4 linked regions of the Pelodiscus sinensis genome follow. The protein of the gene in region 3 purifies or fractionates together with the protein of the main gene of each other region. This does not show direct contact. Links are inferred from orthologs where the notes say so. Each region holds a gene or a part of one and is shown on either strand. Other genes may lie near its edges.

Region 1 (7,386 bases), on a different chromosome or scaffold from region 3:
CAATGGCAGAGCTGGGGGGGGGGGGGGGGTGAGTCCAGACCTGAGCTGGCAGGGGGCTGTGGGGCTAGGGGGCCCCCTCAACCTCGGTGCCACATTAATTCCAGCTCCCCATGTTTCCTTGGTCCCTCGTGCGGTGGCTGCTGCCTTCCCAGGCACGTGGGGCTGGACCAGCCTGGCCTACGGCTCTCAAAGTGGGAGGGGCCTGAGCCTCTAGGTGTGTGGGGGGAACAGGGACCCGTCCACTGCAATGGGGGGGTGCAGCCCCCAGGGCAGCCTGGCACAGGTGTGTGGGCAGAACCTGGTCCTCACCCCGTCCCAGCCACTGGCCCTGTAGCCTCCTGGGGGTGCTAAGTGGGAACGGTGTGTGGGGAACAGCTGCCCCGGCTCTGCCTGTCCCCGCCCCCCAGCTGGCTAAGGGTCCCCTCGCTCACTGCTCTGGGGACAGGTGCTGCACATGCTGCCGCTCACCCTGCAGGGGGCGCCCCCGCTCGGGGTGGGGTGGGGGGAGAGCCTGCTGGCCCCATGCCAGGGGAGCTAATCCCTGCCCGACCCCCGTTCGCCTCCTTGTCCCTTGGCTCCGTGCTGGGGCTGGTTCTGAGAGCGCCCCCTGCTGCTGGGGCTGGGAGGGGAGTAAGGACAGAGCTACCCCAGGGGGCAGAGGTCGATGGTCCCAGCATGCGGGGCTGGGGCAGCCCCAGAGTGTGCAGGAGCCCAGGCTGGCTCTAGCCCCACTCACCCTCACTGTGGCCCCTCCCATGGTCTGTAGAGGCTCCTCCCATCCTCACTGTGGCTCCTCCTATGGGCTGTAGAGGCTCCTCCCACCCTCACTGTGGCTCCTCCCATGGGCTGTAGAGGCTCCTCCCATCCTCACTGTGGCCCCTCCCATGGGCTGTAGAGGCTCCTCCCACCCTCAATGTGGCTCCTCCCATGGTCTGTAGAGGCTCCTCCCATCTTCACTGTGGCTCCTCCTATGGGCTGTAGAGGCTCCTCCCATCCTCACTGTGGCTCCTCCTATGGTCTGTAGAGGCTCCTCCCATCCTCACTGTGGCTCCTCCCATGGGCTGTAGAGGCTCCTCCCACCCTCACTGTGGCTCCTCCCACGGGCTGTAGAGGCTCCTCCCACCCTCACTGTGGCCCCGCCCATGGGCTGGCGGGATCGTACCCCCCCCACCACAGCGCCCCCTGGACTTCCTGTGCTGAGGTCCCACATCCTCCTGGCCCTGAGCCTGTGCCCCCAGCCCTGCCTGCCAGCCTTCCCCAGCTGGGACCCTTGCTCCCCCTGCCCCAGCCAGACCCCTGCCCAGGCGCTACCCAACCTTGGCCCGAGCCCCCGTGGGACACCAGCCTCCAGCAAGAGCAGCAGGCCCCAGCCACCCTCCGTCCTGCCACGTGCCTGGTTCTGGTTGGATGCCACGCCTGCCACGTGCCTGGCACTGGGCTCTGATTGGACACCACGCCTGCCACGGCCACTGACCCCACTGGAGCGGAGGCACCCCCATGAGAAGAGCAGGCAGGTATGGCGGGCACAGCCACTGGTCCCCGTTGAACGGCTCTTGGCTGGGGGGTGGCGCAGCCTCGCCCAAACGTGTCCCCGGCCACGCCGGGCACCGGCGGTGGGTCACAGTGCCATGCTGAGCGCCCACTCTGCCCTCGGGGAAGGTGACAGGGCAGGAGCCGCCTGCCTACAGACAGCTTGGGGGGACTGCCGGGGGGGGGGGCCAGAGAGCAGAGAAAGTGTGTGTGTGTGTGTGTGTGTGTGTGTGTGTGTGTGTGTGTGCGCATGTGTGCACATCCCCCCTGCTGTGTGTGTGTGTGCGCAGACATCTGCTGTGTGCATGTACATCCCCCCACTGTGTGTGTGCAAATTTCCTCTGTGTGTGTGTGTGTGGACATCCCTCTGCTGTGTGTGTGCACATCCCCCCGCTCTGTCTTTGTGTGTGTGCGTGCGCACACATCCTGCTGTGTGTGTGCGCACATGCACATCCCCCTGCTGTATGTGTGTGTGTGTGTGTGCACATCTCCTGCTGTGCATGTGTGCACATCCCCCCCTGCTGTGTGTGCGCGCGTGGACATTTCCTGTTCTGTGTGTGCGTGCACATCCCCCGCTCTGTGTGCACATTTCCTGCTGTGTGTGTGTGTACGTGCACATCCCCCGCTCTGTGTGTGTGTGCCCGCACATGCCCAGCTGTGTGTGCGCGCACGCATGCCCCCGCTGTATGTGTGTGTGTGCACATCCCCCCACTGTGTGTGTGCACACATCCCCCTGCTCTGTGTGTGTGTGCACATCTGCTGTGCGTGTGTGTGCACATCCCCCCGCTCTGTCTGTGTGTGGGTGCACGCACATGTCCTGTTGTGTGTGTGCGCGCGCATCCCCCTGCTGTATGTGTGTGTGCACATCCCCCCGCTGTATGTGTGTGTGCACATCCCCCTGCTCTGTGTGTGTGTGCACATCTGCTGTGCGTGTGTGTGCACATCCCCCGCTCTGTGTGTGTGTGTATGCACATCTCCCCGCTGGGTGCATGTGCCCATCTGCTGTGCATGTGCGCGCGCACCCAGCTCTGCTGAGATGGACGCAATGGTGGAGGGGCTGGCGTGGCACCCAGAGCTGGGTGGGCGGATGCAGGCCAGGTACAATCAGAACTGGGGGGGCGCAGGCTGGACACAGTTGGCCATAGGGGAACACAGGCTTGGCAGTGCCAGGTGGGGCGTGGGGCAGGTACAATCCGAGGTGGTACCAGAGGGCTGGCTGAGCACAGCTGGAGCTGAGAGGTGCAAGCCAGGCACAAATAAAGTGGCTTGGGGGTGGAGCACTGTGGGGTGCAGGCAGGAGCCCTGGGGTTGTGGGGCTGGGGCCCCCACGTGGCCAGGGACTCACTGTGACATCACAGCCCTGCCAGGGGAGGTCATGGCCACGCCCCCAGCGAGCTGTGACATCACAGACAAGCCAGGCCCTGGCCGGGCTTGGAGGAGAGATAGATGCTGGGTAGGGGGTGTGGTTGCAGGACTATATGCTCGTGTTTGGGGAGGGGGATAAGGCCGTGGGATGTATCCCTTGACCTCACACAAGAATGGATGAAGTCAACAGGCAGTAGGTTTACATGGGAGCACTTCCCCCTGCAGTTAACCTGTGGAACTCCTCGCCAGGGGAGGCCAGGAAGCCCAGAAGCGTAACTGGGTTCATCAAAGGAGGGGCGGATGGGCCCCAAGAGTCACCTATGCTCTGGGTGACTCTGGCCTCCGCCTCCCCCTGCCACTGGGCCAGGGAATGGATGGCTGGATAATTGCTCTGTCCTAGCGAACCGGCGCCAGGTGTGGTCAGAGCTAGGCCGCTGGGCTGGGGGACTACTGGCCTGACCCAGAGTGGCCAGGCTTGAGTTCAAAGTAGGCAGAGAATCCAGCTCACACGCTCTCAGCAGGGCGGAGAACCCAGCCCCTCCCTGCCCCCCAGCGGGGCAGAGAACCCCCCCCCCAGCGCTGTCAGCAGGGCAGAGAACCCAGCCCCTCCCCGCCCCCTAGCGGGGCAGAGAACCCCCCCCCCCCAGCGCTGTCAGCGGGGCAGAGAACCCAGCCCCTCCCCGCCCCCTAGCGGGGCAGAGAACCCCCCCCCCCCACAGCGCTGTCAGCGGGGCAGAGAACCCAGCCCCTCCCCGCCCCCTAGTGGGGCAGAGAACCCCCCCCCCACAGCGCTGTCAGCGGGGCAGAGAACCCAGCCCCTCCCCGCCCCCCAGCGGGGCAGAGAACCCCCCCCCCCAGCGCTGTCAGCGGGGCAGAGAACCCAGCCCCTCCCCGCCCCCTAGCGGGGCAGAGAACCCCCCCCCCCCAGCGCTGTCAGCGGGGCAGAGAACCCAGCCCCTCCCCGCCCCCCAGCGGGGCAGAGAACCCCCCCCCCACAGCGCTGTCAGCGGGGCAGAGAACCCTCCCCCCCCACAGCGCTGTCAGCGGGGCAGAGAACCCAGCCCCTCCCCGCCCCCTAGCGGGGCAGAGAACCCCCCCCCACAGCGCTGTCAGCAGGGCAGAGAACCCAGCCCCTCCCCGCCCCCTAGCGGGGCAGAGAACCCCCCCCACAGCGCTGTCAGCGGGGCAGAGAACCCCCCCCCCCCCAGCGCTGTCAGCGGGGCAGAGAACCCAGCCCCTCCCCGCCCCCTAGCAGGGCAGAGAACCCCCACCCCCCCAGCGCTGTCAGCGGGGCAGAGAACCCAGCCCGCCCCCTAGCAGGGCAGAGAACCACCCCCCCCAGCGCTCTCAACGGGGCGGAGAACCCAGCCCCTCCCCGCCCCCCCCCCCAGCGCTCTCAACGGGGCGGAGAACCCAGCCCCTCCCCCAGCGCTGTCCCCGGGGCGGAGACCCCAGGCGACCTGCCCCCTTGCTCACCCCTCCGCCCTTCCCCTCGGAGGAGGGCGGCGGCTGGGGGCGGGCCGAGCGGTGCATTGTGGAGCCGCGCCGGAGCGCAGCAGGGGTGGGAGCCCGCAGTAGCCGGAGCCGGGGACCGGGACCGGGACCATGCGCCCACAGAGCCGGGGCAGCCAGGGGCCCAGGTAGGCGGGAGCCGCAGGCAGCCCATGGGCCCGGGCCCCCGCCTCCGCTGCGGCCGGGAGTGAGCGCCCGGAGCCGGCACCATGGGGTGAGGAACCGGCCGCGCGTCCTGCGCCCCGGGCGCTTTGTCCGCGGGGAGCCCGGGGGGCGGCGGCCTGGGGGCACTAGGGACCGGCGCCCCCCGAATCGCGAGGAGGGGTATCCCTGGGAGTCACTCTGGTGCCTCCCCCCGGCCCGTCTCCCGCCCCGGGGGGCGCCTTGAGCCCCCACCGTGGCCCCCGGCGCCCATCCCCGTGGCCCTCCGCCCAGAGCTTGGCCCGGTAAGGAACCCAGCGTCCGGGCTGGGGGGCGGGGGTTGTGCTTGTCTCGGGCGGGCGGAGCACTGGCGGCCCCAGGATCGCTTGGGCTGGTTCCGCCTCCCCGAGAGCCGCTCTTGGTCTCGGAGGGGAGGGGTCCGAGCTGGATCCTATGGGGCAGGGGGCTAGTCTGGGGGGCTGGTGTCCGAGTTGGATCCTATGGGGCAGGGGGCTAGTCTGGGGGGCTGGTGTCCGAGTTGGATCCTATGGGGCAGGGGGCTGGTGTCCGAGTTGGATCCAATGGGGCAGGGGGCTGGTGTCCGAGTTGGATCCAATGGGGCAGGGGGCTGGTCTCGGGGGTGGTGTCCGAGCTGGATCCTATGGGGCTGGTCTGGGGGGGGGGGGGTGTCCGAGCTGGATCGTGTGGGGTAGGGGGCTGGTCTGGGGGGGGTGTCCGAGCTGGATCGTGTAGGGCAGGGGGCTGCTCTTGGGGGGGGGGTGTCCGAGCTGGATCCTGTGGGGCAGGGGGCTGCTCTTGGGGGGGGGGGGTGTCCGAGCTGGATCCTGTGGGGCAGGGGGCTGCTCTTGGGGGGGGGGGTGTCCGAGCTGGATCCTGTGGGGCAGGGGGCTGCTCTTGGGGGGGGGGGTGTCCGAGCTGGATCCTGTGGGGCAGGGGGCTGCTCTTGGGGGGGGGGGGGGTGTCCGAGCTGGATCCTATGGGGCAGGGGGCTGCTCTTGGGGGGGGGGTGTCCGAGCTGGATCCTGTGGGGCAGGGGGCTGCTCTTGGGGGGGGGGGTGTCCGAGCTGGATCCTGTGGGGCAGGGGGCTGCTCTTGGGGGGGGGGGGGTGTCCGAGCTGGATCCTATGGGGCAGGGGGCTAGCTTGTCTGTGATGTCACAACCCACTGTGGGGGTCAGCCTTGACCTCCCCTGGCAGAACTCGGCCAGAACTCAGGCATCCTGGCTCCAGTTTCTCCCCCGGACCCGGATCCCTGCCCAAACCCGGAGTCAAGTGATGCTGGTTCCGGGTGCTGCCCCCCATGGACCCCGGGCTGGCTGCAGGGCGAGGTGTGTGCATCAGGCCCCCCTGCCTCCCTTAGGGTGGCCCTATGCCTGCCTGTGGGAGCAGCCCCCCACCCCCCATTGCTCACAGCTGCGCCTGGGGGTGGGTCCCAGGAAAGTTCCCCCATTCTGTGGGCTGGGTGCTGCATAACCCCCAGCTGTCTGTGTCTCTGGGGGGGGGGGGGGTCCGGTGGGGTCTGGCCTGCCTGGGCTGGGCTCAGCTGTTGGCACTAAACATTCCAGAGCTGCTGGAGTGGCTGGGGGGGGGGGGGGGGTTGGGCTCTGTCTTTGGTGCTGTTCCTTGGAGGGTGTGAATCTGTGGGGCAGACGTGTGGGGCGGGCTTGTGGGTGCTGGAGCCACAGCGTCTGCGGGTTGCTAAAGAGCAGGAAGTGGCCACAGGCAGGCTCCGGCTTCCCCTTCCCGTTCTGTAGGGGGGGAGGTGTTGTTCGGAGGGGGGGGCTCTTGGCAGGCCCCTGGGCTACAGCAGAAGCGGGGTGAGCCCTGCCTCTCCCCCCACCTCATACCCTGGGGTCCTGCTGAAGGGCCTGACCCCTCCACCCCCATTGCATTCTGGGATCCCCCCACCCCAGGGTGCTGGGACCAGAGCCTGCTGGAAGTGGGGGGAGGGTGGAGACACCCAGCCCCCCCACACACACCTGGGGCTTGGGCGCTGGGGGTTGGCTGCAGTCAGGTGCACGAACCCCTTAGGTGCTGTCTGGCCTGGGCCAGGAGGGTCTCCTGGGGTACCCCAAGGGGGAATGAAGGTGTGTGGGGGGGGTCATGAACACACCCAGCCCTGCTGGGGGTTGTCCCCAGGGTGCCCAGAAAGCGGGGGAGCCAGGGGAGGGGCGGTAGGCTGTGGAACCCCCCCCCTCATACCCGCAGGACAGGGCTTGGCAGGAAGTGACTCAGGGTCCCACCCAGGGAAGGGGGGGGGGGAACAGACGCATGGGGGAGGGGGAAGCCCTGGACTCGGGATGGTACAAGATCAAGGCCCCCTGGATTCCCCCTCCCTAGCTGCAGAGACTCCCGTCTGCCCCCCCCCCCCAGCCCCCACCAGGACTGGGGTAGCAGGTGCTGCGGGGTGAAGTTGAGGGGAGCCGGGGTGGGAGGGGCCAGCCCCGGAGCAGGGCAGGTTGTCCTGGCCTGACTCCTGCAACTGGCCCTGCTCCTCCCCAGAGGCAGCTGCCTCTCCCTCCATGGGGGGAGGGGTGTCCAGGCCCAGCTTTGGTGCCTCGGCCCAGCCCCCCTCCACACCCATGTCTCCCCAGGTGGAGGAGGGTGGGTCGGGGCTCAGCCCTTCCCCGGGTGTGTTTTGGGGGTGGCTGGGTTCCTGATCCCCCAAACAGGGAGAGGGGAGCAGCTCTGGATTGTGTCCTGTTTAACCCCCCTCCTCCCCTGGAGACAAACAGGCTCTGTCCTTCAAACCTGCCCTTATATGGTTACAGGCAGCTGCTTCCCCCCCCCCTTCCTGCTCCAGAGTCCGCCCCCCCAG
Region 2 (7,261 bases), on a different chromosome or scaffold from region 3:
AAGAGGGAGTGGCTTCCACTTTAAGACCCCTGGACAGTGGAATTCACAATTGTAACCAGCGGAAACTGCCAGGTATTTTGGGACAGTTGGAGAATCACCAGGGTTGACATAGTGCAGTACAAGTGTAGATACTGTTTGACCTGACTTCAGTAGGTCAACTATGGCTCAAGGCCATTCAAAAAGATGGTTTTACTGCATCACCTTAACAGGGTACTTATGTTAGCTAAAGACAAATCTGACTATGCACCAACAGGGTCAACACAAATTAACTTATGTTGACCTAACTTTGTAGTGTAGACCAAATCTCCGTGTGTCATGTAGGTGACCAGTGAGTGTGTATGCTGAATGAATAGCTTCTTCCTATTCTGAGGGAGGTTAAAAAAGGACTATACAGTTCTTCATGCCCTACAGTTCAAAGTGGAAGAGAGAAGAGCAGTATCAGCTAAATTTGACTTGCTTAAAAATACAGTCTTTCATCAGAATCAGGAGGAAGCAGCTTGCATGTATGCATGCTTCCAGGCTAATGCTGAATTATAAATCACCTTCCTGGACCCCACCACCCCCAAGTCATTTGTAATTTTTAGAGCTCTGCAATATGGCCATCTTAGTATGTTACAAGCAACCATCTATGAAGAATAGGAATTCTAGGTGATGTGCATTTCATTTACTTATTCTTGTGAAATAAAGTCTTATAAACCTACTATCAAAATAATTCATAGACTATCCAGAGACTTTGAGGAAAGTAGTTGTCAGATTCCATATAAGACAAAGAAAAAAAGTGCAAGAACTATTGCAACTGTCACAAATGAAGCACTAGCTAACAAAGTCTGCAATAGCATCAGACAAATGACTGTTAAACTACATCTATGCTATAAGCTAGAGATGCAATTCCCCATCTCTCACGCACATATACCTGTGCTAGCTTGATGAGAACTAGCACAAATATAAATAGTAGTGTAAGCCACACCAAGCATGTACCCACAGGGTTCAAGCGGGTTTATACTCGGTATGATACTTCTGCTACTGCAGCAACACTGTTATTTACACTTGTACTGGCTTTCATGATGTGTGTACACAAGCTGGCAATCACACCCCAAGCTCGTTGTGAAGACACAGCCTCAGTCTACTTAGAGCAAGGAGAGTAACCTGAACTGAATTCTTGTGCCCACCTGAAAAATCTGCCTACACTTCCAATTTTACTCTAGAGAAATGAGCAATTTAGTGATCAGGAACATGTACAGCAATATCGCTAGATTTAACTGACTGCTCTTCACTTTAAATATTTTGTCAAATATTTCAAAACCATATCTCATTTTCCATTCCAAATATGTCATGTGTCATGCAGGTAGTAAAAACTACAACAAAAGCCCAATTCTGAAATTCTACCCCATACAGCAAAGCACGCTGCAAAACCCTTATTATTCTCTCATTCCTGAATAACTGGCTCCTTCAGCTTGACAATAATAAACAATTTAGATTACCCTAACTTTATTACTGTCGTGAGTAGTGTCACTTCTAGGCATAACTGAACATTAAGGAACTGTAGGACAACTGAGATTCCCCAAGAATTCTTTATCCCAATTAAGCTAGCTAGCTTTGCTACCACAGGCTTGGAACTAGGTTCTCTTACCATTTCATTAATAAAGTAGTGAATCTTAATCCAGCCTTTAAAATGCCAAGAAAAACTTATCTGCCCAGACCCAAAGTCTGATTCACTGATTTTTGATGACTACTTAGTTAGAAAGAAATCATATATATTTACTCAAAGTAGAAATTTTCAGAAGGTAGTTTTAAAGAAATCTAAAATCAAAATAAAGATTAAATTGGGAACGAGGAAACCATATCACTTACTAAGAAATAGACATTAGAAAAAAAAATCAGATCAGCTACTTTTCCTATTTAGAAATTCAAATGCTATTAAAACTGAATAACCTATAAAGAGGGATATCAGACCCAGACATTTGTAAACAAAGAAAATATCATTAAACACTGAAATTTTGAATATTTTCTGGATTAATTGTACAAAGATGTCAGTCATTAACCCCTAAAAATGAGTAGTCCTGTGGCACCTTGGAGACTAACAAAAATATATAGAATCATGACTTTCGTGGGTAAAATGCACTTTATCGAATGAGTTGGAATGGAAAACTCATCTCGTGAAGTAGGTTTTATGCATGATTCTATATTTTTTTGTTAATCTCTAAGAAAGGTGTCACAGGATTACTCATTTTAAAGCTTAAGACTAACACGGCCGCTCAGACTTATCAACCCCTAAGATACAGATATTAACAGCCACTGTTTTTAGTATTCCAATTGCCAATGGAATCCCTAGTCACATCTAACTATTTCTGGACACCTATTATGAGATTAGTCCATTCACGTAACACTCGATTCAGAACACCACGTACTCTGTCAGTTACAATGCAAAAAGAGCAGACATGCAAAAATCAACTGTTTACCTATTCACCCTTAAAAAATAGTTTACTGAAGAGTTGGACTTCTGAAACAAAACTTTATACAGAAACTTGTCTATACTCCTGTGTAATTCAAGATTTAGAATTTAAATCCTGTGTTCAATAGCTAAGATCTAAATATCTCTTCTATAATTTTCAAGCATCTACAAACAACTGTTGATATTTAAATACATATCGTCATGTGCGCCCTATTACATTGCACAGATTTTAGAATTCAGGTGACAGCAAGCTGTATTTGATAAAGTAAAAACTGGGAAACTATTTGTTAACTTTCAACCACCTAGCTACTCCAAATATTGGAGCAGCCATTCATCAGTCAGACCAGCATTACTTCAGAATTCGGATGGCAGGGAAAGAATTTTCTGACCACTTGGCTGTATACTCCCTTATCCCACGCCTGAGAGCGCAAGCATGTAAAATGAAGTTATAGTTCAGAGCAATTTTCTGTACAAGAGTACACTGAAAAGATTATACTCACCTATTTTTTTTAATCAAACAACAAATGGTCTGGTAGCACTTCATAGACTAACAAAACATGTAGATAGTATTATGAGCTTTCGTGGTATAGCCCACTTCTTCAGATGACGGGAGTTTTGAGTTTAGGATGTGCAGACCCCAAAAAAATAGGGGAGAAGGGGAAGGAAAAAAAAGGAAGGGGGTGGAAAACAAGGGGCAGAGGGTATGAAAATATCAAAGGGAAAAACAAGTAGGCAGTGTGTCAATTGTATACATTATCTCTGTTTATTATAAATTAAGCTGTAAGTGGAAGAACCTCTCTCAGAACTACACCTAATTTATGATAATTAATAACTAAATATCTGTCTAGACTAGAGAAGATATTTTAAAAGGTGTTAGCAAAAAAATTTTTAACACAGGCAAACTTCCAAAACTTGTTAGCTATTTGACAAATAGCACATTTGTCACATTGCAAGCATTGATTCTTCCTGGCCCCCCATTCAAAGGGTTTACCTTGACCAGAAAAGATACAAACTTGCTTGTCTGTAAGACTGTGTAAAGACCAATTAACTAATGCCTTTCAAAGAACATATTTTAAAAATACAACCTTTTATGCTGACTTACACAAGCCCTAAGAGAATATGTTCACTGAAGCTTTGGCTACACATATTGTACTTAGTTAACTAAAGAGATTGAGAAATTGATTCTATTTAACACTGTCCAACACAAGGGGAACTTGCTGATTTAGCTTGTTAATAAACCAATTTAGTTACAACTATACAATTTGCATGGTTGGGCAAGGCTTAGATTTATGCAATTCCTGAAGAATTCTTGAGGTTTCCTTAAATCAGCAAGCATTCATAATGAACATTTAACTCCAGACAATTTCCTTTTAAAAACAGTTGCTACTTAGAATTTGAAGAGACATAGATTTATGAGATGTTTTGCTTATGCTTAGGCCCCGTGCGTACAAGTATACAGTTTAAAGTTCACTATACTATACAAACATTTAATATTAGACAGATTAAGGGGAGGTCTACATTAAACTTTTGTTGGTAATGCTGGAACTCTGGCAAAACTTAAACCAGCAAAAACTCTTAATGTGCATACATTTATACATGCATAAAAGTGTTTTTGCTAGAACACAAAAGTCTCTTTTGCCAGAATAGCTTATTTCATGCATTGAATCAGTACATGCTATAATGGCAAAAGAGGTATGTTTGCTAGTATAAACTGCACCTACATTAGGAGGGCTAGTTGATACAACTGTACCAACAAACTTTTTTTGAACCAGAGACATAGCTTAAGTAAAATGATTGCCTCAAAACTACAAATTCACCTCTAAAATATGCAAATAAGATATAAAAATTAAACTTTTTAAATTATCAAAACAGTAGAAAGTGCTATATACAAAATATGCAATTACTATGAATTAATTGAGTGTTTTAAAGTGTTGAGAAGCTAGCCCTGTGAAAGAACACTGTATGAATAAGAGAAAAGTTATTTAATATTACAAAATAGCTTTAAAAAGCAAATTTAATGCATAAGTAACTACAAACAAAATAAAATAAAGCCATCCCAGGAACAGAATGCATGGGGAGGAGGGGAGAGAGAGAAGAGAACCCAGTTCTTCATATGCCAAGGCTCCATGGTTAACATTTGCCCTTGGGGGAAAAAACCCTAAAAAAACTAAATAAAAACTTTAAAATAGAAACGTCTCACATTTGTGAAGAATTCCTAGACTTGACACTGTCACAGCAAAGGAATGTGTAGATTATATCACGTAAAGCTTACTGGTGCGTTCTAAAGGACGTGGCAACTGCTGGCCATTAATCTTTAACACAAAGAAGATTCAAGTCTAACTACAAAGACAGACAATATCTTAGGTAATTTACAGTCCCCCACCCCCCGACACACACACAGACAACTGTTTAACCTAATGGGCAGGCCTATGTGGATCATAGTAATGCGTCTCCAAATACATCACCATTCAGTCTACAAAGTCACATTTCTCACGAAGTCTTGCACCAATTCAGAGAGAGCTTATGGATACTGAACAGGCACGAAACGGCTGGAGCGGGTGGAAAAATAGTCGCCAAGCAAATACGATCACATAAAGGCTCAGTCTCAGACAAATGGACAAAGACTCCCCCCCCGAAAGGAATTAGCAACGTGCGGCTCGAGGTTTGCATCGGGACTAACACGCCCCAAGAACAATGTGTTCCCCGCTGCCGGGAGGGGCGGGGGGATGGAGGGTTGCCTCTATTGATTACACAGGGAAAAACCCAGCTGCTGCTGCAATGCAACACACACCGATAGAAGGGCAGCGCTTCTCCCTCCCCGCCTTGGACACGGGATCGCGAGCAGCCTCCAGCCCCGCAAAAAAAAAGACGCGCCAGGAGCTCACAAGCTGGCCCCACGCGCCGCCCAAATCACAGGGGCTCTCACGCCATGTACGGGCAGCCGCGCCCGGCCCGCTGGCTCCCCAAGGCGCCGGGCGGGCTGGCCATTATCCCCGCGGAGCCGGAGCCAGCCCTCCCCGCCCGGCGCCCGCACAACGGCCCCCAGGGCGCTTCCACAGAGCAACAAGCCAACGGCGCAGGCGGCAGAGAACCCGCCCCTCGAACAACGCCCCCCCCTTCCCCACAGACCCGCGCGCTTTCCCCGGCTACCTCCGCCTAGGCCCCCCCGCCGGGCCCTCCTCCCACCGGAGACCCCCACAGCGCCCCCCATGCGAACACCGCGGTGCGGAGGCCCCTCACCTCATGGTGCTGCCCGCGTCGGGGAGCCGCTCTCCCCCTTCCTCTCGAGCCGGTCCTTCAATGGGCAGCGAAGTCCCTGAGTGCGAGCGAGTTCTCCGTTCAGCCGCCGGGTCGGGCCAGACCCGACCACAGCGGGGGGTGAGGGGAACGAAGAGGAACAAACCAACTCCCGGAGTAGGGGGGAAGGGGCGGGAGCGCCTGCACCAGAGCGCGGGCGTCTCGAGACACCGGTTTGCTTGAGAGGGTGGGGGGCACGGCCGCACGCAGGGGACGCGGTGGGCGGAGCGGCGGGGCCACGCCCACTACTGGTCTGCATTCCGTGTGGATTCTGAAGTGGGGAGGAGCAGGGAATGAGCAGCAATTGTGGGAGAAATGAACCGGGGTTACTAGGCTTTGGCGACCCCTGGCGGGGAGTGGTGGCCCCTCTGCACACTTGTGCAGGGCTGGGGTTCCTGTGCATAGAAGCAATGCATACAGTAATGGACCCTCCAGTGGTTTCTCTACCAAACATAAGTTCAGATATTGTAGGGGATTATTTAGCCTGTCTACTTATTGTTCAAACCCCAGGTGATATCTCTGCACAACGGCATTGCATAAACTGTTGAATGTTACAGTCTCCTGTACACAGCACTGCATTCATTATTGATGAGCAGTGCAGTGGTTTTTCTACATGTTTGTATTCCATGCACTGATTGCAGATGATACCAAGCTGGGAGAGGTTGCAAGTGCTTTGCAGGATAGGGTCATGATTCAAAATGATCTGAACAAACCAGAGAAATGGTCAGAGGTAAATAGGATGAAGTTTAATAAGGACAAATGAAAACTACTCCACTTAGGAAGGCACAATCAGTTTCACACATACAGACTGGGAAGTGACTGTCTAAGGAGGAGTACTGGAGAAAGGGCTCACCAGTCATAATGGACCACAAGCTAATTATAAGTCAACAGCATGACACTGTTGCAAAAAAGCAAACCTGATTCTGAGATGCATTAACCGGGTTGTTGTGAGAAAGACCTGAGACATAATTATTCCACTGTACTCTGCACTGGTTAGGCCTCATTTGGAGTATTGTGTCAAGTTCTGGGCACCACATTTGAAGAAAGATGTGGAAAAATTGGAGCGGATCCAGAAAAGAGCAATAAAAATGTTAAAGGTCTGGAAAATATGATGTATGAGGGAAGACTGAAAGAATTAGGTTTGTTTAGTTTGGAAAATAGAAAACAGAGGGGACACGATAGAAGTTTTCAAGTACCTAAAAGGGTGTTACAAGGAGGAAAAAAATATGTTCTCATTGACCTCTGATGATAGGACAAGAAGCAATGGTCTTAAATTGCAGCAAGGGAGGTTTAAGTTGGACATTAGGAAGTTGTTCCTAACTGTCAGGTTGGTTAAGCAATGGAATAAATTGCCTCAGGAGGTTGTAGAATCTCCATATTTAAGAGAAGGTTGGGACGGACATCTATTAGAGATAATCTAGACGGTGCTTGGTCCTGCAGTGAGGGCAGGAGCCTGGACTTGATGACCTCTCCAGGTCCCTTCAAGTTCTAGTATTCTATGATTCCTGTGGT
Region 3 (7,447 bases):
GCCCATGGGCCACATGTGGAGTAGATGAAAACCAGATTTTTATACGGAATATAATATTCCCATGCAATGCGAGCACAATTTCTCATACTTCCTTTTCCAGAGAGTTTTAAATCAAAGACAAAGGATAGATAATTTTAGAGCACAATGAGCTCAGGCTCATTGATTAACTATTTAAACATGTATACTAACACATCCCTATTATGAACTAGGGATGTTAACTAGAACTAAGCATGTGGGGGGGGGGGGGGGGGGGGGAAGAAGTCTGCTTCTGCTCCCGCACCCTCTCTCCTCCCCCACTACACTTGGGGCTGCCAGCAGCCTCAAGTATGGGGGAGGGGGAAAGAGGGGGAGACAGCTTCATGCTTGGTGCTGCTGCTCTCAGCCCCCTTGGGACTACAGCAGCCCTCTGCAGGCCATTCCCAGATACCAGTTAACTGGTGCGGAGTAAACATCCCTCAGTAAGAGTGATACTTACCAGGTAACTGGTTGTCCATAATAGGGATATAATGGGTAATACCTTCAGTTACTCAGCAGAACATGAAAACAGGCAGCTTCAATTAGGGATGTGAAAGGTTGTTTGTAAGTGTCTAACTGCTCAAATTTTTAGCAAAAAATCCTACTGCATTTTAACATCCCTAATCATAACCAGTAAGCCTCACCATTGGCAGGTGACGCTTACTGGTTATGATTAGAGATGTTAAAATGCAGGAGGTTTTTTTGGTAAATGTCTAACTGCTCAAATTGTCAGCAGTTATATGTTCACATGCTCAGGGAAGGGGGCAGAAGCTCCTCAGGAAACCGCTTAAAAGCCAGCTCCCAGCAAGCACTGGCTTCCACCTGCTCCCCTTGCTGTTGCCTCTGATACAGAGGCAGCAATGCAGGTGGGGTGCTTGTGTGTAACCGTGAAGGTTAACTGATGAGCCTGTCTGCAGCATGCTAGGAGCAACACCTACACTTCTCATTTAATTGATTAACCGGTGAAATAGAAACTTTAACTGGTCAACTTGTTAAATGGGATTTTACATCCCTAGCGTCAATGGTATGCATGTTCGTGTTTTATATTAGCATATGCATGTTCTCTATATAGTTCATAAAACAGTGGGTCTTAACCCGCAAACCACTTAGAATCATAGAACTGGAAGAGACCTAAGAAGGTCAACAAGTCCAGCCCCCCTGCTCTAGGCAGGACCAATTCCACTAAATCAACCTGGCCAGGGCTTTGTCAAGCCGAGACTTAAACACCTCTAGGGATGGAGACTCCACTACTTCCCTAGGTAACCCATTCCAGTGCTTCACCACCCTCCTAGTGAAATAGTTTTTCCTAATATCCAACCTGGACCTCTCCCACCACAACTTGAGACCATTGCTCCTTGTTTTACCATCTGTCAGTACTGAGAACAGCCTCTCTCCATCCTCTTTGGAACCTCCCTTCAGGAAGCTGAAGGCTGCTATCAAATCCCCCCTCACTCTTTGCTTCTGCAGATTAAACAGCCCCAAGTCCCTCAGCCTCTCCTCATAAGTCATATGCTCCAGCCCCCTAATCATTTTGGTTGCCCTCCGCTGAACCCTCTCCAATACATCCATATCCTTTTGTAGTAGGGGCCCCAGAACTGGACACAATATTCCAGATGTGGCCTCACTTGCAGCCCAATCAACACACACTTCAATCCATAGCTGAAACAAAAGACAGGACTATGCAGCACTTTAAAGACTAACAAGATGGTTTATTAGGTGATGAGCTTTCGTGGGCCAGACCCACTTCCTCAGATCAATTTGTGGAAGAAAATTGGCATGACCATATGTACCAAAGTGATACAATGAAAAAAATGAACACACATAAAACTGATCAATCAGTCCTAACCATGCCAGTTACAAGATCAAGAACACATATTCCTGCTCATCCAGAAACATAATTTATGCCATCATATGCCTAAAGGGTCCGTCTGCTATGTATACTGGACAAATTTCTCAGACACTTTGCCAAAGAATCAATGCTCATAAAACAGACATCAGGCTCCCTCACAGACAGAAAACTGTTGCTTGCCACTTTAACCAGACTGACCATTCTCTCAATGACCTTAAAACATTCATATTGCCTCAAAGAGATTTTAACTCCAGACTTCAAAGAAAAGCCTCAGAACTGTCATTCGTGCTTAAATTTGACACTTTATCTATGGGTCTTAAAGATGCTAATTATCTTACCCATTACAAAGGTAGCTTCCCCAATTATCACCCCAATGTCATTACCTCACAGACACTAACCTTCCCCCCACTGCCCCGCCTCTGTTCTTAAATCTGATTTGTCAATTTTATATATTTTTTTTAAATTGTATCACTTTGGTATACATGGTCATGCCAATTTTCTTCCACAAATTGATCTGAGGAAGTGGGTCTGGCCCACGAAAGCTCATCACCTAATAAACCATCTTGTAAGTGCTGCATAGTCCTGTCTTTTGTTTCAGTTAGACCAGACTAACACGGCCACATCTCTATCACTCTTCAATCCATAGGAGATCCTCAAGGCCACACTGGTAGCATATGCACCCTGCAAAGGTAAATACGTTGAGAAGCACGGTCATAAAATAACATCGATATTTAAAGTTTCCTTGAGCACACATGGAAAGCATGCCACATTTAAAAAAACAAACAAACTTTTTCTGCAATATTTAACAATTAGATTTAAGGATTCAGTGACAGCATAGACATTGGGCTGACTATACAATGTAAAAAAATTAACTAACCAGTAACAACTGGTTTTTAATCAATTACAAGCCATGATTGCCAGGCTGATTTACTCAGCCTTCTCACCTACCCAGAGTCACGTCTAGTAAGGGCCAGCAGCAAAGGAGCTGCATGTGAGTGACTCGAGACTGAGGAGCGGCACAGCCCCACCAGCGACCCGAGCTGCCCGTCACGCCTCGGCCCAATCCTCGGAGGATTCAACATCGTTCTCCCTCCCGTGACGCGTTTCTGAGGAACAAGGCACGGCCCTGGAGTCGCCCGGACTCGGTCACCAGCGGGGAGAATGGACTAGAGGGAGCGGCAGGCGAGGAGGACGAGGCCGGCCGAGCCCGACAGTCGGACAAAAGCCCCCCCCCCCCCCCCCCCGCCATCTCTCCCAGTTTTGTCGGGATCACCCCAGCAGCCAACCCCACCGCGCCTCGGGACCCCCATTACTGCCCCCCCATATCCGCTCTCGCCCAGCCCCGCCCTCCTCCCAGCGGGGACCCCACAAACCTCGCCCCGGCCCCTCGCTCCCCTACCTGCCGGCAAGTCGCAGGCCTCAGGCCTGCCCGTGCGCTCCGCTGCCCGGGTTCCTCCGCTATTCACCCCCAGCCGCTCTCAGAGCCAGGCTGCCGCCCCCCGCCTCAGGATTTCAAATGTCAACGTTAGCTCGACTCTCCAATAACAGGCCCAGAAGCTGCTCCTCGATATGAACAGACCAATCAGCGAGCGGGCTCGGAAAGGGGCTCACAGCCAATAAGAGCTACCGCACCCAAAGATCGCGAGCGTTAAGCCGTGCTGCGGTGAGGCATGCTGGGAAATGTAGTTTTCCTAAGGGAGGGGTGAGACTGGAGCGGCTCAGAATTTAAACAGACAGCACAAACGCACCAAGAGAGCCAGAGAAAGCATTGTTCACTCCTGAGCCCCAGTCCTAGAAAGGAAGCTATACGCCTGCTTGGAGTTCCAGGCTTCCAAGAAACTCTATGTGCACATTAATAGCTGATTTAGACTTTAGGTTAGCCTTTCAATTTTTTAGCTAGGCCTGTAAAATACTAAAAAGAAAAGTGGCCTAATTCTCAGAGGTGCTGAGCATTCAAGCTCCCCTGTAAGTCAGTAGGAGCAAGGAATGTTCAGAATGTCCAGATTTGGTTGCCTATAGTTAGGTGCCTAAGTTGGAAAATGCAGGTTTGCTTACCTTGACCAGGACCGCAGAAATCAGTTTCAAAACCGAGATTGATCCCCTACAGTCACTGCTTTGTATAGCCCTTGTGACTAAGGATGCTACAGGGATATCCGGTTAAACGGTTACTCAGGAAGCACCACTCTCATTGGGAGAGGGTTATTATTGGGTACCAGTTAACTGGTCCCCAGAAGCAGCTTCCCTCCTCCCTCCCCCCGCTCCCAGTGTCCCAGCCTGGCAGGGGCTGGGAGCCATGGTGGCAGCCCTCGCCTAGGACCTGGAGCAGCACCTGCCTGTATCAGGGGCCACTCTGTCCTGACCCCAGCAGGCGGGGGTGGGGGCGCTCTATCCCTGCTGGAGCGTTCCCCCCTTGCCCTCTTTACATGGTTAAATGTAGCAGCGGTGTTGTGTTTAACCAATAAAACGAGATTTAACATCCCCGCGTGTGACCAGAGCATCATCCTGGCTTCTCAGTACAGAAACTAACTCCGCCAGACACAGTGGCCTGGAGTAATAGGGGAGCTTGCACCCGCTCTCAACCGGGTCAGGACAGCCCCCTCGTGTGAAGTGGCCACAGCTCTTCTTAAAAAACAAGGCCCTGCGGTAATGAGGTTTGGGGACCTCCAAGCCCAGCTCAGGGCACCTCCGGCGGGCGGTCTCTGAATAACTCTCGCTCGAGAGTTGCTTGCTATCGCCCCACCAGCTGGAAACTGTAGTGTTGCACGAAAGCCGAGACTCCGGTTAAGGAGCGGGGACGCTGGCTCTGCTGCCCAGAGGGGTCTCTGATGCTGGCGGGGCGAGCTAGAGCGCGCAGCTTCTCCAGGCGTCTCCTTGCTTTGCAGCCCGCTGGAGCTTCCCCGCCCCCGGGTTACCCGGGTGGGACCGCTGGGCGGAGGCCACGTAGAGCATTCCGGTCCTGGGAAGCCGGGTTCGCGGCACAAACTTCCTGTCCCAGGCAACAGCGCGGCGGCGGGGCCGAGCGGGCTAGGAGCGGGGAGCTATGGAGAGCCCCGCCGCGACCTTCACTCTGGCCTACTTGGTGTTCGCCGTCTGCTTCGTGTTCACCCCCAACGAGTTCCGCTCGGCCGGGCTCACCGTGCAGAACCTGCTGGCCGGCTGGCTGGGCAGCGAGGACGTGGCCTTTGTCCACTACCACCTGCGGAGGAGCACCGGCACCATGCTGGCCCACAGCCTGCTGCCGCTCGGTGAGGCGGAGCTGCGGGGAGAGTAGCCAGGGGCTGTAGGGAGGGGGGAGACTGACCAGGAGAGCTGTGTGGAGGGAAGGCTTTGGAGGTGCTGAGGGAGAATAGACATGGGACTGTAGCATTGGGCGAGCATCCTCCCTTTGGTGAATGCAGCCTTGTCTTCACGGAGTTTGAAAAATGTTCCCTTGACCTGTGTGCGTGGGTGGGTATGTTCTGAAGGAAGGCAAGAACCAGATATTGAAGGTTGAGAGCTTGTCTTGTCCATAGCTTTGGTCTCTTTGCATGATTCTGTCTCTTTAGCAAATCCACAAACTCAACAGAGATACCTGTGAGGTAAAACAGTTCCTTCATATGCATAAGAACTTCATTAATCTATACTAAAATAATGATGGTCTTGCCCTGCCTAGGAGAGGAGATCTAACATCACAATGCCTTAATCAGATCTGCTATTACTAAGAATTCATTGCTTTATAAAAAAATCACTATTCCAGGATTGACTCAGACATTATAGTATAGTATAAATAAAATATCAATGGGAAAAATACAGTGAAGTGCAGCATCTTCTTACCTTCTAACTGACTGTTTACTTCATAATTTGCAGAATTTGACAGTCAGTAATGGGTTTTCCAGCAAATGGTGCAAATAGCAAGGTTCTGCTTGGAGTGTTAGATATGAATTATTCGAGCTGCTATTGAGAGTGGCCTCTAGAGTGCATGTTGTAGGGAAGTAAAATTCTGTGTAAACAAGAAATGAACACAGTCTTGCATTCACCCTGATCATGGTGCTCTGCGTCATTATGCCATTCTAATAAGGCAGTGTAAGTGAACGTAAGTTATACTTAAATAACGAGAAGTCCCGTGGCACCTTATAGACTAACAGATTTATTGGAGCATAAGCTTTGGTGGGCAAAGACCCACTTCATCAGATGCATGTAGTGGAAATTCCAGAGACAGGTATAAATATACAGACACATGAAAAGAAGGGAGTACCAATCAAAAGGAAGGCCAGAGATAACCAGGTCAGTTCAAGAGCTTCAGGGGGTAGCTGAGATAGCACTTTATAGACTAACAGATTAACAAAACATGTAGAAGGTATCATATTTATTTCCATATTTTATATCCCCAACTCATAACTCCGGATATCTGAAGGAGTGGGCTGTGCCCACGAAAGCTCATGATACCATCTACATGTTTTGTTAGTCTATAAAGTGCTACCAGACCACAGATCAATTCAGTCAGGGAGGATGTGGTCCACTTCTAGCAGCTGGTGTGAACACCAAAAGGAGAGAAACTGTTTTTGTAGTTGGCTAGCCATTCACAGTCTTTGTTCATTATAAACTGATAGTGTCAAATTTGCAAATGAATTGTAGCTCTGCAGTTTCTCTTTGGAGTCTGATTTTGAAGGGTTTTTTTGTTGCAGGATGGTTACTTTTAAATCTGCTACTGCTAGTTGTGGGTGAGGATAAAGTCAGAGAGCTCAGCTACCAGTTGTGCCATGGCATCATCAGGGATATTGTTCCTGACAGCTTGTATTCCATCTACATGTGGGATGTTGGTATAGAGAGCCTCTATATCCATGGTGGTTAGGATGGTGTTTTCTGCAAGATCACCAATGCATTGTAATTTTCTTAGGAAGTCAGTGGTGTCTCAAAGATAGCTGGGAGTGCTGGTGACAGACAGTCCTGCAGTAAGAGTATCAATGCCTGAGATGATGGGGCATCCAGGATTTCCAGGTTTATGTATCTTGGGGTATGTCTACACTACCACCCTAGTTCGAACTTGGGTGGTTAATGTAGTCATACGGAGTTGCAAATGAAGCCCGGGATTTGAATTTCCCGGGCTTCATTTGCATAAAGCCGGGCGCCGCCATTTTTAAATGTCTGCTAGTGCGGACTCCGTGCCGCGCAGCTACACGAGGAGTAACGGTAGTTCGGACTAGGAAGCCTAGTCCAAACTACCTAGTCTGTGCCGCGTGTAGCCGCGCGGCACGGAGTTCGCACTAGCGGACATTTAAAAATGGCGGCGCCCGGCTTAATGCAAATGAAGCCCGGGAAATTCAAATTCCAGGCTTCATTTGCAACTCCGTATGACTACATTAACCACCCTAGTTCGAACTAGGGTGGTAGTGTAGAAATACCCTTGGGTAATAGATAGAATAATTCTGGTTGGGGCTCTATGGGTATGTCTGTGTAGATTTGTTCCTGTGCTTCTGTAGGGAGTATCCCACAACTATTTCAGATTTGGGGACAATTTATACCTTCGAACCAGTGGCACCGCTATGGGCACCCGCATGGCCCCACAATATGTCAACATTGTTATGGCTGACATGGAACAATGCT
Region 4 (7,672 bases), about 32 Mb from region 3:
ATGCAACTGCACAGGAGCAGATACACCTGGGAAGCTGGTTCCCCCACACACTCCGGCTCCTGCCTCCCTCACTCCCTGTGAGGTGCCTTTCAGGGAGGAGATAAGTAGGTTTTGGGAGCACCTTCTCCTGCCTGTCCACCCCACATGTAACCATTTACATGTTTACACTGTCACATTCCTAGCCAGGAGTTGGCTGCCACCCCATGCTATTGTTTCTGATACAGAGGCAGCAGCACTGGGTAGAAGCCTGCATATAACCAGTAACAGTAACCCATAAGCTCAGGCTTATCAGTCAACCCTTTAAACAGTTATACTTTGACATCCCTACCTGACAGAATACCACACTTGTAAAATGCAGAACAACCTCTTTTATACCTCCTCCTCTCTGCCACATAGTATACAACTTAAAACTATGTTTTTAAATCCAAATTCACCGATCACTTGTGTCCCATCTCACTGCTGTCAGTACCCATGACAAGACCACAATGCCCTGCTATGACAAGACCACAATGCCCTGCTATGACAAGACCACAATGCCCTGCTATGACACAGTACACACAATTTTGTACTGAAAAGATACCGACTAGACACCAGTATATGCATATAACACCAGTATATGCATGTACATCTTTCCTTTGATCACACTCATGGGGTAACTCAGACCCACATCTCTTCATATCACAATGGCAGCTCTTTGACACTTCAAAACTATCCTGATTTCCTCATATCAAGACATCTAACAACCTGTTGCACATACTGCCTCCACCACAAAGTAGTTACACCTAAAACACAAAACAACTGGAGAGCATGCAAGTAATTCCTGTTTGCTACTGCCAGCTCTGGAAGGAGAGTTAAGTCTGCATGGACATTTATCTTAATTCTATTTCCCGCGATCGATCCCTCAGCTGGCAATTTATTACGTCTGCTTAGCTGAGATAAATCCATCTCCATGCCCTCTCCCAGCCACCAGGATGTAACCAGTGTTGATAGGAGAGTAGCCCCCACCAGCTCTACCACAGAGAAGACAACACAGTAAGTACTTTGAGACGGTGGGGATTAGTACAGAAGAGACCACACACTGGGGCTACGTCTACATTGGCCCCTTTTCCGGAAGGGGCATGTTAATTTCAGCAATCGTAATAGGGAAATGCACGGGGGATTTAAATATCCCCCGCGGCATTTAAATAAAAATGTCCGCCGCTTTTTTCCGGCTTTTAGAAAAGCCGGAAAAGAGCGTCTACACTGGCCCCGATCCTCCGGAAAAAGCGCCCTTTTCCGGAGGATCTTATTCCTACTTCAAAGTAGGAATAAGATCCTCCGGAAAAGGGCGCTTTTTCCGGAGGATCTTATTCCTACTTCAAAGTAGGAATAAGATCCTCCGGAAAAGGGCGCTTTTTCCGGAGGATCGGGGCCAGTGTAGACGCTCTTTTCCGGCTTTTCTAAAAGCCGGAAAAAAGCGGCGGACATTTTTATTTAAATGCCGCTGGGGATATTTAAATCCCCCGCGCATTTCCCTATTACGATCGCTGAAATTAACATGCCCCTTTCGGAAAAGGGGCCAATGTAGACGTAGCCTGGGGTTTTTTTTAGCCATGTAATAAGATATGCAAGGCAATACATCACGAAATAAAGGAAATGTGAATAAATGGTTTTCCTGAAATGTTGCCATAACTACTGATAACACTTGGGTGCCCATTGCAGGTACATCTAAATATCAACTAAACACTGGTGGCTGGACCATGCCAGCTGACATGGGAGTTTGCAGGGTTTCAGCTTTGCAGCAGTTCTACTGGTGTGTAGACATGTGGGCTCAAGCTGGAGTTAAATTCTAGTACTTTGTGAGGTTAGAGTCCCAGAGCTTGGGCCTTGAGCCTGAAAGCCTAACAAGCAGTGAAACATCCCCAAAGCCCAAATGAAACTCAGTCCAGCCAATTTTACTTTGCTGTATAGACATACTCTTAAGGGATCATTGCAGTTCCTTTCCAACTCTGGTTTTGCAAAAAACAGGGTTTTCCCATGGCTAATTAGAGATGTACAGCCCCTGCCAGTCACAGAACAGAGAATCACCTGGAGCTCACCAGGCAGTTTTTTAGAAGTCTGACCCTGAGAGCACCAGGTTTCCTACCTGTCACGGACTCTAAGCAAGTCACCTTTCCCCCTCCAGCCTCAGAGAGCGAGCTCGACTTCAGACCACTGGGGCAGAACGACGCCCACTCGCAGCACGTTTTAGTAAACAAATGACCCCTGTTAGCTCCCCGCACCCCGAGCTGCGCTGGGTCAGGGAATGGGGGCGGGGGCTGAGCTCCATACAGCGAGGCCCAGTCCCCTGCTTGTGCCCGGGAGCTGGAGAGCCCGGGCCCCGGACGTAGAGCAACCAGGCGGCACAGCCCTGAGCCCCCCTCTGCCTCCTCACCAGCCTGTCTCGTCCTCCTCGCAGCCGGCCAAGCTCTCGAGCTCCTCGGGCCGCAGAGGCTCCACCTCGTCCAGGAAGCTGCCGCCTTCCCCGGCCGCTGCGGCCGCCGTCCCGCTTCTGCTGTCTCGCGTCTCCTCGGCAGGCGGCCGCCGGGCCCCGGCCTTGGGGCTGAGGCAGCGGCTCTCCAGCCCCAGGTCCCCCCGCGAGGAAGGGGTGGCGGCGCCGCTGCCGCTGGGGAGGCGCTTGGGGCTGGCGGGGCCCCCGGAGCGGCTGCGGAGCTGCTCGTTCTGCTTCTCCAGCTTCTTCACCAGCTCCTGCAGCTTCCGCACCTCCGCGTCCGCGTTCACGTTGGAGTTAATGTCCTCCATGGCGGCGGGTCACGTCTCCGGGCGGCAGCAACCGGCCCCCTCTACATGGCCGGGCCTGGAGAAGGAGGCGCCGCCGCGGTGACTGCGCCGGGGCTGGGCCCGGCCGAGCGTGGAGCCGCCGCCTCGTCAGCTGCGCCGGCGGCCCGCGGGGGGAGGGAGACACACACATCCGGCCGGCGGCGCCATCTTGCCCGGCCCCGCCCCGCCCGGGCGTCACGCGGCCGGCGTGCAGCCGGGACAGCGCGCGTGCAGGGGGGCGGGGCTCGGGCCCGGAGCGAGCTCGCGCTGCCGGCGGGGCCGCGCGCACGAGGCAGAGGCGAGCGGCACAATGGCCGGGGCTGAGCTCACAGCGGCGCGCGGCCCGTCGCCCCCGGCCCATGGTGGCGGTGAAATCGCCTGTTCCCAGGAACGTCGGGGCTGCGGCACCTCGTTAGGGCCCCTGCCCGGCCGGTGCCCCGCCACCCCTGCGAGCCTCTGCCGGGCACCATTGGCCCCTTTAAAACGAACAAAGGCTCCGGGCTTGTGCCCCCGCCCACAAGCTCCAGGCTCAGGCTGTACTAGCCCTGGGCGCACACATCGGGGATAATTCTGCTTCACCTCCCCCACTGGGGCGCTGTAGAAAACAAATCTCTAGTGAGAGAAAAGGGGATTGGCGCATCTAAATGAGCAATCAAATAGGTGGAGGAGTTAACTTTGGCAGTACGCCCGGTAACTCACTTCTCCACGCCAGGGTGTGAAAGTCCAGCAAACATTTTAAAAAGTAACACGAATCTTCTATTAGGTCCGCTTCCAGCGAGCCAGTGTGTAACCTGTGGTGGGTGGGCCAGGCCTGCAAACGGGCTGCTCCTGTGGGCCCGCCGGGAGAGAGGACAGCAGCTGTGGCTCCTACCATTTAAATCGCTCCTACACGCTGTTTCCCTAAAAAAACACACGGTTTGGTGTCAGTAACATCATGCTGACAAGCACTGAGGCATGATGCCTTCCTTACAATACTTTGGGAAATGCTGCATGGTCCTGGCCCAAGGTTCCACTTCCTAAACCAAGTTTAATATTTCATTTTGGACAAAAATCTCCTGCTATGCTGAGAAAATAAAATCACCACAACCAGAGCCCTAGAGCTTTTAGCAGCAATGCTAGATTGACAAAGTATCAATGTAAACACTGGTTATGTTGCCATAAATGGCTTTCAGGAGGTGTCCCACAATGCCCATCCGGATTACTCTGGTCAGAAATTTGAACTCTGCAGCCCTGTATCCAGGTATGCAGGCATCTACTCTTTTTTTTTTTTTTTAAGGAATGGGAACTTTTGAAATTCCCCTTTATATTTGCATGGTGTGGACAGCTAATGTTGCATCTTCCCTGATGATCATGGCCGTTCCATACAGCAAACATTCTCCACCTTGGAGCACACCAGAGTGATTTGATCTACTGGGTCTGTAGACAGTCGAAGATGTGCAGTACCAGCTTCACTCCAGCTGTGGGAACTTTGATACATTCATCTGAAGAAGTGGATTGTGCCCACAAAAGCTCATGATACCACCTACATGTTTTGTTAGTCTTTAAGGTGCGCAAAACTATTTGCTGTTTAAGTTTTTTGATACATTTAGTTAGATTTCTTATGGCATGATGGATATGGGCTGTGTGAAGATCAGGTTCTGGGAAAGCAGAGGAATCAAACTATCACTCTAGTGTTGCTCTGAGGACCTGCAGTTTTTATAAGGATCTCAACACCATCTTCAACAGCAAATCTACCTCCACTGCCAAGAAGCTGAGGTGTGGATGGAGTGCGCTATGGCCCCCTCAAGCGCCAGGAACTCCCTCTTCCAAGGAAGAGGGGGGCCCGGGACCGCCCTCACTGACGAGCCCCAGGCCAGGGCCTTAAGGACGTGAACCTCCTATGGTCCAGTCCGGCTGACGGGGGCCCCTGCTGAAACCCGTCAGCCTGCTGGCGTTCAGTGCTGCCCTGCCCTGGGCTGCTTCCTCTCCACTCCCCACGGGTCCTGCCGCCCCTATGCGGAGCCTACCTGGCCCTCCAGCGGCCTTGGCTGCCTTGTTGTGTCCCCGGGTTTGGGTCCCCGTTGCTGCATGGGAGCCCCGCTGGCACACCCCGCACCCTCACACACACCTCCCCCTCTTCTGGCACCAGGCGGCGTTTAAATCCCCTGCCGCTCCCGGTGCCAGGCGTGATGTTGCCTTGACGTCACATATGTGGCCCCACCTACCCTGTTGCATCCGGGCCGCATTCTGGGTGCAGCGCCTGGAGCTGCAACGCGTTCCGCGGCCAGCGAGCACCCAGCATAATGCCGGTACCTTGCCCGCCTGCGCCGTAAACAGGGCGCTTGCGGTGGAGGCTACAGTGCGGGGCTGCCGAGTCCCGTCACAGTGAGCCAGGATCTCTTCTTGATGCTGGAGAGTTCAAGATGGTCCTAATGCTCCATCTGTGACACTCATGATGCAGAAGAAGGAACCTCTGGTAAGTGAACATTCTGAGTTCCAGCTGATCAATTACATAAGATAGTGTCGAAGCAAACGCCTCACTCAGTTTACGCGGCTAAACAGACAGTTTTATTGGCTAATAAAAGCAAAGTGAGCTAAACGTGGTCCTAGCAAAGCCGGGCCTAGTAAGGCTGCTTAATACAATCAATCCTAGTATTTTATACCCTTAATCAAACAAGTCTGATGTCAGGGCAAGAAATCAAAGAGAACTTCAAAGAGGAATTATTATCAGCATAGAAAGAAACAGGTTAAAAGGGAGTTCGAGCTTCAGCTCAAAATAGTTCATTAACACATTCCAACAGCGCATCCCTCTGGTCTCTCCCCACCTCAGTGAAGGCCAGTTCACTCCTTCGTGCAGACAGAAGAAACTGAAATGGCTTTTTGTTATACAGAATGGCTTCTAGCTAAATATGAAATAGCTTCTACAATAGTTATAATTACACAAGTGAGTTATAAGATCAAGAACACATATTCCTGCGCATCCAGAAATATAATTTATGCTATCATGTGGCGAAAGTGTCCGTCCGCTATGTATATTGGACAAACGTCTCAGACACTTCGCCAAAGGATCAATGCCCACAAAACAGATATCAGACAGGATTACAAAGAAAAAACAGTTTCTTGCCATTTCAAGCAGAAAGGACATTGTCTCAACGACTTGATTACTTGCATCCTGCTTCAAAGACCTTTTAAGACAGGCATGTCCAAAGTCCGGCCCGCGGGCCAATTGCAGCCCGTGTTCCGGTTTAATACGGCCCCCCAGGTAATTTGGCAATATCTATCTTTTATGGCCCCCAACGAATCCATATGTATTGAGATGAATACATTGTAAAATCTCAGTTAATGTCAGTTGGTCTAAATCAGTTATAAATATATTTGGACACAACATGTATACTTGGTGTTATGTTCCTGTTCATATTTTTTGAACTTAAAAGTTGACAGACAACCTTTATTACCAATAATATGTAATGTACTTTACAATGTTCCTGACATATATTTCAGCTTCCTGGATTTTTTTTTCATCTGGCCTTCAGATATGAAAGGCAGAGTGATTTAACACCTGTTTAAATTTGTCATCCATGTGACGAAATGAAAAGTATGCCGTTTGCAATAAGCTTTGCATAAAATAGTTAATTTGCATTTAATTTTAATGGTTCAAAGAATGTCAGGCAAAATGGTCGGTCCTCACGCATGTTCACTTCATCAAATCTGGCCCTCTTTGAAAAAAGTTTGGACACCCCTGTTTTAAGACTTCACTTCAAAGAGAATCCTCTGAACTATCATTCATGCTTAAATTCGACACTTTACACGCAAATTTGAATAACGACGCTAATTATCTTACCCATTACAAAGATAGCTTCCCCAATTATCACCTCTAATATCATTAGCTCACAGATATTTTCTTCCCCCCTTTCCCGCCACCTCCCCATCCCCCTTCTGTTCTGAAATTTGATTTGTCCTTTTCATATGCGTTCATTTTTTTTAATTGTATCCTTTGGTATATATGGTTGTGACAATTTTCTTCCACTATTTGATCTGAGGAAGTGGGTCTGGCCCATGAAAGCTCATCACCTATTAAACCATCTTGTTAGTCTTTAAAGTGCTACACAGTCCTGTTTTTTGTTTCAGTGCACCAGACTAACACGGCTACATTTCTACCACTATAAGATAGAGTTGTCTTTTGTTATATGCTAGAAGTGAATTAAGGGATAGAAATGTACAAGATCATCTATGTTTGCATCTGCTTCCCATACCCTGGTGCATCTACACAGTGGGCCATAATAGTGTATTAAAGAACACTGAAATTTCATGGGAATCTTCCAGAGAGATCACTAGTAAACTTTCCTGGTTTTCACCAATCCTCTGCTGATGGGTCCTTAGAAGAACTTCTTTGTTCCTTCCCCCATTGTATGAAACTTTGCAGCACCAATCAGCAATTCCTTGTACAGGGACGAAAGTGGTGCACAGGCAAGCAATATAGAGACCCGCTCTGAAGTCACATGCAGGCAGGCAATAAACCTTTCTGTCGTTACAGGATTAAGATATTGGTTGAAGTGACCACATCTCTGGAAAATGGTGACAGAATTTAAAAAATTTAAATTTAAAAATATAGTTGCTAGTTGCTTGCAGTGATTCCCTTTAAAAAACTCACCATGACCCTTGTTCCATCAGGAAAGACCAGCCTCCTTGGCCAAACTCAGCATGTTTAGGGCATTTGCTAATCTCTGTGCTTGCCAAAGGACAGTGAGAAAGAGGAGTCTTTTATTATGATGATTTGATGCCATGAATGTACTGATAATGATGTTTCTGATTATTATATCTTGCAGATGTGGCCTTCAGGGGAGCCCCTTACACACCAAGGCTGTGTCGGCAGAGGCATGTAGATTAGACAGAT

Evidence for each region.
Region 1: the proteins of TACC3 (region 3) and VASP purify together in Homo sapiens (co-immunoprecipitation; 3 studies listed by BioGRID and IntAct, with this or other methods). This does not show direct contact. The link is inferred for Pelodiscus sinensis from reciprocal best matches to the Homo sapiens genes TACC3 and VASP.
Region 2: the proteins of TACC3 (region 3) and ENAH purify together in Homo sapiens (co-immunoprecipitation; 3 studies listed by BioGRID and IntAct, with this or other methods). This does not show direct contact. The link is inferred for Pelodiscus sinensis from reciprocal best matches to the Homo sapiens genes TACC3 and ENAH.
Region 4: the proteins of TACC3 (region 3) and SLAIN2 purify together in Homo sapiens (co-immunoprecipitation; 3 studies listed by BioGRID and IntAct, counting the BioPlex papers as one, with this or other methods). This does not show direct contact. The link is inferred for Pelodiscus sinensis from reciprocal best matches to the Homo sapiens genes TACC3 and SLAIN2.

Annotation. Positions count from the first base shown.
Region 1 is NW_027465849.1:6,816,151-6,823,536, reverse strand, and holds the start of VASP (vasodilator-stimulated phosphoprotein), read left to right. Parts: upstream 1-4,380; 5' UTR 4,381-4,500; coding exon 4,501-4,535; exon of another isoform or gene 4,536-4,616; coding exon of another isoform or gene 4,617-4,621; intron 4,622-7,386. UniProt on the Homo sapiens protein: Ena/VASP proteins are actin-associated proteins involved in a range of processes dependent on cytoskeleton remodeling and cell polarity such as axon guidance, lamellipodial and filopodial dynamics, platelet activation and cell migration.
Region 2 is NC_134713.1:156,792,713-156,799,973, forward strand, and holds the start of ENAH (protein enabled homolog), read right to left. Parts: upstream 3,012-7,261; 5' UTR 2,997-3,011; coding exon 2,953-2,996; intron 1-2,952. UniProt on the Homo sapiens protein: Ena/VASP proteins are actin-associated proteins involved in a range of processes dependent on cytoskeleton remodeling and cell polarity such as axon guidance and lamellipodial and filopodial dynamics in migrating cells.
Region 3 is NC_134715.1:119,855,945-119,863,391, forward strand, and holds the start of TACC3 (transforming acidic coiled-coil-containing protein 3), read right to left. Parts: upstream 3,014-7,447; 5' UTR 2,947-3,013; coding exon 2,813-2,946; intron 1-2,812. Other genes in the region: TMEM129 (E3 ubiquitin-protein ligase TM129), read left to right, coding at 4,905-5,109. UniProt on the Homo sapiens protein: Plays a role in the microtubule-dependent coupling of the nucleus and the centrosome. Involved in the processes that regulate centrosome-mediated interkinetic nuclear migration (INM) of neural progenitors.
Region 4 is NC_134715.1:87,514,859-87,522,530, forward strand, and holds the start of SLAIN2 (SLAIN motif-containing protein 2), read right to left. Parts: upstream 3,016-7,672; 5' UTR 2,782-3,015; coding exon 2,414-2,781; intron 1-2,413.